Coturnix japonica: one gene and its partner. The protein of the gene in region 1 interacts with the protein of each later gene in a pairwise test. Links are inferred from orthologs where the notes say so. Each region holds a gene or a part of one and is shown in the gene's direction. Other genes may lie near its edges.

Region 1 (3,744 bases):
AGCAGGTCCAGGGAAATAGGCAATGAGGCTTGTGAAGGAAAATCAGCCCTATGAGGAGAGACAGGGGGGGCTGGGGCTGTTTAGTCTGGGGAAAAGGAGGCTGAGAGGAGACTTTATTGCTCACTTCCAGTAACTTAAAGCTGCGCACGAGGGCGGACACGGCGCCGGTTCACGCGGCTTTAAACGGTTACAACGGAACGACGCTGCTCGGAACGCGCAGCACCGGCACGGCACCAACGCTCCCGGCCCACCCCGTGTGAGGCAGAACCCCCGGTACCGCCCTGACACCCTCCCGGTACCGCCCATAAGGGTCCCGGTACCGCCCAGGAGGGTCCCGGTACCGCCCAGACGCCCCGTAGGCCGTATTTAACAGCCGGCCTCGCTCATCCCGTAGCCGCAGGTCTCTCACCAGCAGGTCCAGCTCGGTGCGGTGCAGCCCGAGGCGGCCCAGCCCCACGGCCAGGTCGTGGATGCACAACGCACCGTCACGATTCACGTCCAGCTTCTGGAACAAGGCCCGGAGCCGCCGGTCCTGCTCGGACGCCTCACACGCCGCCCTCCCGCACGGGCTCCCTTCAGAGCCGGGACCGGGCGTGGCGGCGGCCCGCGGGGAGCCGCACGGGCACAGCACGCCGCTCATCACCGGGGAGGCCAATGAGCGCCGCGCTCCCGGCATGATGGTGGCTCCGTGCTGCCGCTCCGCCCGCCGGCAAATGGCGACGTTTCCGCCGGCACCGCGAGGAGCCGCCGCCGAGCGCTTCCGCCTTCGCGCCACACGGCGCCGCGCCCACGTGACGCCCCCCCGCCGGCCAATGGGAGCGCTCCCCGCCAACGCCCACAGCCCGGCCCACGCGCGCAATTCGGTGACGTCAGACTGACGCCTTTCCCTGCACCAATCGGAGCGCAGAACCGCCGCGGCCGGAAGAGGGCGGGATGTGATGCCGGAGATGGATGCCATTGGTTGAAAGCTGAGGGTAAAGACACAACCGCTCCAATCAGATTGGGAGTAAGGGACAAGGCTGGGTGTTGACGGACAGGGCGTGCAGCCAATAGCTGCAGGAGTAGGGTCCCGCCGGACTCACGCAGGCCCAGTGGGCCGAGGCAGGCGGGGAGGCGGGACCTTCTCCAGCTGCCCTCGATGGGCGGCGCGACTGGCCAATGACAGCGCAGCGCTGCTCGCTGGGGGCGAGACTTTCACCTGACGGACAGGCGGGCGGCCCAATCAGGCGAGGAAAGAAAGGGGGCTGATTCTGGAAGCCATTACGCCAGTGTCGCAGGGTGGAGGCCGTTGAACTGGGTTTGCTGGGTGGCCGCGGTACGCAACTTGCGTATCGTTAGCGGTGCCAAGGGGGGGAGCGGGGAGGGAGCGACACCTCCGGGCCCCGAGGGGCCTCGGGCCTCCCCCCCGCTCCTCCCCGGGGTCAGCGGGCCGGGGGGGGGCTAAGGAAGGCTGGGCAACCCCCCCCAGCCCCTTGAGGAGCCCGCTGAGCATCACCTCCCCCGCTTCCCCCTCAGGGCCATGGCGTCGCCCCCGGCTCCCCCGGCCAAGAAGAGGAAGATGAATTTCTCGGAGCGGGAGGTGGAGATCATCGTGGAGGAGCTGGAGCGAGGCAAACATCTCCTCATCAACCACTTCAACGCCGGCGTCCCGCTGGCTGCCAAGGCCGCAGCCTGGCACGACATCCTGCGGAGGGTCAACGCCGTCGCCACCTGCCACCGAGAGCTGCCCGAGGTGAAGAAGAAATGGTCCGACCTCAAGACTGAGGTGCGGCGTAAAGTGGCACAAGTGAGAGCGGCCATGGAAGGGGGCAGCGAGAGCCACAATGGAGGCGGTGCTGGGACGGAGGGTGAGGACCCTACGGGTGCTACGGCAGCTCCCGTCATCCTCACCCCAATGCAACAGCGCATCTGTAACCTGCTGGGAGAGGCCACCATCATCAGCCTGCCCGGCGGGGAGTGCGGGGCTGCAGACGGCACCGAGATCCCCATCACCGCATCCGCCACCACCGTCACACTGACCCAGAGTGAGTGCTGTGCACTGTGGAGATGCTCCATCTGCATTGATGGAGGCCTGGAACCTTCCTGTGATCCCACTGCAGGGAGCTCCTGTCAAAACTAAGTGCCCATCTGTCGTGAAAACACATTTGTGATGTAGGGGAGCATCTATGTGATGCACGTGAAAGTCATCTGGGGTCAGCCTTAAAGCCAGGAAAGCAAGGAGCCTTTGGTCCCTTAATCTAATGAACTACAATAAAGGAGGAATATCTCCAGGGCTGATTTCCTGAACTGCCCCAACCAGGCCATCATGTTGCTAAGTGCCATTCGAGTCCTTGTCTTTGCCTTGTGTCATTTGGTTAATCATAGTTGGTTAATCATGGTGCCCTAAAAGAGATCTTGTCTAGACAGGGATGGCGCACCCTGCTCCTTTGGACCTTACTCGGTACATCCGAGAAGGAAACTTGGATGAGGGTGGAGTTGACTGAAGTTATTTTGCGCGTTCGCTGTTTATTGTATGTTATCTCCCAGAACAGGCAGTATTCCTGTTACATTCCTTGAATAGTCCTGTAGATAAGGACACCCATTTTGCAGCTACTCCTTACCCCCTTTCTGTCCTTTGTTCTCAGTTCCTGCAGAGACGACGTACCACAGTCTGGAGGACGGGGTGGTGGAGTACTGCACAACAGAAGCCCCCACCGCAGTTACTGCTGAAGCACCGTTGGAGATGATGGCACATCAACACGAAGTATCTGCAAAACCTCAGGAGCTGAAAAGCCGCATTGCTCTGAACTCAGCCAAGCTCCTGCAGGAGCAGCGAGTCACCAACTTACACGTGAAGGAGATCGCCCAGCATCTGGAGCAGCAGAATGACTTGCTTCAAATGATCCGTCGCTCTCAGGAGGTGCAGGCGTGTGCGCAGGAACGCCAGGCTCAAGCCATGGAAGGAACACAGGCTGCACTGAGTGCCCTCATCCAGGTCCTCCGCCCCATGATTAAGGACTTCCGTCGATTTTTGCAGAGCAATACACCCAGTCCTTCGGTGACCGCTGATCCCAGCCAGACTGGGCAGCAAGATGGTATTATCCAGTGAAAGGAACAGCAGTGGGACTTGTTTCTTGGGGAAAAAAAAAGCCCTGCCCCTGCTGCCATTGGACACAATAATGGGGTGCTGGCTCTAGTCAATGTGTAACGGCTCTCCTTGGAGTCTAGGCTGAGCCTGAACAACTTTCTTCTCTGCTAATCTTCTGCTGATCTGCCTTTTCAGACCCATCATACAGAGCAGAAGCAGGAGATTTGATAAACAAGGAAGCTAACATTGGTTGCTTTAGTTCCTCAGAACAATAGATTTGTGTCTTTTTTAAAAGAGGGAGAGAAAAAAAAGACAATTATTTTTTTATCCATTTGAAAAACTTCTGGCTATGACACTTCTTTCTTCCTCTGCCTTGATCCATAGCCTTTAACTGACTTCAAACACGGAGAGTCTTTCTATTAAGTCACAGTAGTGAAGCTGCCAAGGAACAGATATCACAAGCTGTAGTGTCTGGCTGTGAATGCATTTCTGTTTCTTGTTGAAAGTGTTCACTGGAAACGTGGTATCTGAGGTGGTACAACCTTTCTCTGCACTGAGAGTCTGTGGATATTGCTCTTGGAGCATGAAGTTCACCCGCACAGACTAGCTCTAAGCCTGTATGCAGTTCAGGATCCCACCCATATCCCCCAAGGATATAAATGGGATTAAAACAGTGT
Region 2 (3,532 bases), on another chromosome or scaffold:
TGAAAGTCATTTATTTAGAGCGGAAAGAGGAAAAAAAAAAAAAAAGAAAAAGCAGGAAATAACCGAGGGTGGTTGATGATATTGTTATAATTATCGTTGTTGTTATTCTTATTACTACTCCGGGGGTAGCGAACAACCTCCAATGGCAGCGCGTGGCCGCCCGGCCGGAGCAGAACTTGCCTCCGGGGGACTGCGGGGGGAGCGCGGAGGTTGCGGGGCTGCGGTCCCCACCTCCGGCCCGGCCCGAGCCCCCCGCCCGGCTCGCATCTCGTTTCTGCCCCCGTCAGCCATAGAGCGGCCTGAACGCTCCGCGCCGGGGCAAGGGGCGGCCCGACGGGGGCTGTTCGGAGCAGGTTTGTTAACCAAGCAGGTGCTCAAAACCAATAAGCCACGAACAAACGCGGCCCCCGTCGGGATTCGGAACAATTGTTTCCATTTAATAAATATTTTCCCCACGGGCGTTTGGAGGGAGGCAGGCAATTATTCAAAGCGAGTCGGGACGCGGGCCGGCTCCCGGGGTTAAGCGGGGCTGCGGAACGGGGGAATTGGCGGCGGGGAGCGGCCTCGGCCCGGCGGAGCGCTGTGCTCTCAGCCCCGACGGCGGCGGAGGGGTGTCGGGACCCCTGCACCCCCTGTCCCCATATACCGGGGGTCCCGATGCTTCCCCCCCCCCAGCTCTCCCCTCGCTGTTAGCGCGGCAACTCACAAAGCCTTCCCTTTAATCTGCGCGCTGATGGAGAGGGGGTGGGGGGGTCCTCATTTCCCCTCCTTTCTTCCTCCTCCGCCCTCCCCTGTCCCCTCCCCTCCTCTTCCTCTCGCCCTTCCTCTCTCCCTCTCTTTTTAAGCTGGTCCCCCTCCGCGCTGATTGGGCGCCCAGCCGCGCTGTGAACGCCCTGCCACTATGTCAGCCCGCTCGCCGCAGCCCCTCGCCTTTGAACTGCCCCGCGCTGCTCCGCGTCCCCACCGCCGGCCCGCAGCTGTGCCCGGCGGCTCGCCGCCCGCCTAGCCGCCCGCCGGGCCCCGCGGGCCGCCCCGCGCCTCCCCGCGGGCCGCTCCGCTCCGCACCGCTCCGCGCCTCCCCGCGCCCCGCCCCGGCGCGGCTCCCGGCGGGGACGGCGTCGGTGGAGGACTGTGATGATCAGCTGAGCCCTCGCCTGGAGCTCCTCCGGCTGCCCCGGCCGCCTCTTCTTCCTCTTCCTCCTCCTCTTCGTCGTCGCGGTGCCCGCAGAGCGCCCCGCACCGCCGCGTCCCGTCGCCCGCCCGCCCGTCCGCCCGCAGCATGTCCAAACCCAGCGACCACATCAAGCGCCCCATGAACGCCTTCATGGTGTGGTCCCGCGGCCAGCGGCGCAAGATGGCCCAGGAGAACCCCAAAATGCACAACTCGGAAATCAGCAAGCGGCTGGGAGCGGAGTGGAAGCTGCTCTCCGAGGCGGAGAAGCGGCCCTACATCGACGAGGCCAAGCGGCTGCGGGCGCAGCACATGAAGGAACACCCCGACTACAAGTACCGGCCCCGGCGCAAGCCCAAGAACCTGCTCAAAAAGGACAGGTATGTCTTCCCTTTGCCTTACCTGGGGGAAACCGATCCCTTAAAGGCCGCCGGGCTTCCCGTGGGGGCCACTGACTCGCTGCTGAGCTCCCCGGAGAAGGCCAGGGCTTTCCTGCCCCCCACCTCAGCACCTTACTCCTTACTTGACCCCAGCCAGTTCAGCTCCAGCGCCATTCAGAAGATGACCGAGGTTCCTCACACCTTGGCCACCGGCACCCTGCCCTACGCCTCCACCTTGGGATACCAGAACGGGGCGTTCGGCAGCCTGAGCTGCCCCAGCCAACACACCCACACCCACCCCTCACCGACCAACCCTGGCTACGTGGTGCCGTGTAACTGTACCGCATGGTCGGCCTCCAGTTTGCAGCCTCCGGTTGCCTACATATTATTCCCGGGCATGACCAAGACTGGCATAGACCCCTATTCTTCAGCACACGCGACTGCTATGTAACACCCGCCCACAACCCCACGGGCGGCCCCCACCCAGGGGAGCCGGCCGGATTGGGATTCCTCCGTGTGCATGTACATAACCCCGCCGGAGCCTCCCGAAGCCAGGACTCTGCAGCCCGGACAGCCGCGGATGCGCCCCGGGGGACGAGGAGATGCTGAGAGCTGTCACCGGGCCCCGAGGTGGGGGGTGGGTGGGAGGGGGAGAACCTGCAGCAGCGGGGGGCGGATAGGATCCAGGCACCGGGCCGAGTTGTAAATGTGTTTTAAAACAAAACAGAAAAACAAACAAACAAACAAAACCAATAAGAAATGAAAAAGAAAGAAACAAATAACTCCGAAAATCCGGGAGAAAAAAAAAAAAAAAAGAAAAAAAAAGGAAAGCAAAGAAGAGCGAAGCTCGAACTGCCCCTCTGGGACAAAGGGGGGGGGAGGGGGGGGAAGGAGAGAGGCGGTGATTTTAATTTATTCCCTGAACGTCTCTGAGTTCTCCATGGTCTCACGGCACTTGGATGTGACTTTGGGATGTCTCGGTCCTGTTCTGTTGTTGGGGCTTTTTTAAGGGGTGGGGTGGGGGGGATTTTTTTCCTTTTGCACATTGAAAGACGAGAGCGGCTGTGTTATATATATAAATCTCTATATATTTTGCCACCACGCTTTAGTCGGGAAAGAAAGCAAATTGCTTTTTCGTGTCTCTTCAAAGTTCAAAACGGAAAGAAAAAGCAAAACGGAGGGAGAGAAGCATTTCTATTTCTAACATATGATAGTGTTTGCTTCATTTCTAACAGCTAGTCCTTCAATTTGTGTGATCCAGTGAGATTAGATCTAAGTTTACTTTAGGCAGAGCGTCAGGTCTGAAGTCAGGCGGTAGAATTGTACAAAACAAATGAACGATGCTGATACTAATACTACTAATAACGGAAAACCGAATAATCGTAATAAAAATGATGGTCATTTCAATACGTTTTCGCGATGTCTTGGGAAGGAAAAACAAAACCGTGCGTATCCGGTAGGGTTTTATCTCGTTGAACCTTTACGTTGGTTAAACAAAGCCGTTCGGAATGAAGGCAATTTGGCGTTGAGAGCGGTGTGAGCGCGGTGCCCGTCCCGCAGCCCCGAGCCCCGACGGCGCGCACCGGGCGGCCCCGCACCGCGTCCCGCACCTCTGCGGGCTCCTCTTGGAGCCCCTCGTGGAGAGCAGGAGGCTGCGGGAGGACGATACATACAAACAACGAGGGGGGGAGAGCCGGGGAAAGGAAGGTGGTGGTGGTGGGGGGGAGGCATCCCCTTCCCCTCCCGTCGGGGAAAAGTGAGCTTTGCGAAGTTACCTCCGCGGAGCTGAAGTTGTTACCGGTGCGACGATTCTCTCTGTCTTTCTTTTAATTCTTTTTAATTGAATTTTTTTTTTGGAAGTCGGGGAGAGGGGGGGGAATTAGCATCGTGCCGGGGGACAATTAGCGGTGTCCGGGTGCTATTCACGGGGCCCTTTGTGCAACGAGGGTCTTTGCGCGGAGGGACGGAGGCGAGGAGGAGC

Evidence for each region. The genes of interacting proteins can lie anywhere in the genome.
Region 2: the proteins of NAIF1 (region 1) and SOX14 interact in binary tests that used the Homo sapiens proteins (3 or more experiments, as listed by UniProt). The two-hybrid records come from large-scale screens. The link is inferred for Coturnix japonica from reciprocal best matches to the Homo sapiens genes NAIF1 and SOX14.

Annotation. Positions count from the first base shown.
Region 1 is NC_029532.1:3,577,239-3,580,982, forward strand, and holds the start of NAIF1 (nuclear apoptosis-inducing factor 1), read left to right. Parts: upstream 1-958; 5' UTR 959-974; intron 975-1,214; exon of another isoform or gene 1,215-1,315; intron 1,316-1,515; 5' UTR 1,516-1,519; coding exon 1,520-2,024; intron 2,025-2,624; coding exon 2,625-3,088; 3' UTR 3,089-3,744. UniProt on the Homo sapiens protein: Induces apoptosis.
Region 2 is NC_029524.1:3,146,934-3,150,465, reverse strand, and holds SOX14 (transcription factor SOX-14), read left to right. Parts: upstream 1-1,069; 5' UTR 1,070-1,279; coding exon 1,280-2,002; 3' UTR 2,003-2,958; downstream 2,959-3,532. UniProt on the Homo sapiens protein: Acts as a negative regulator of transcription.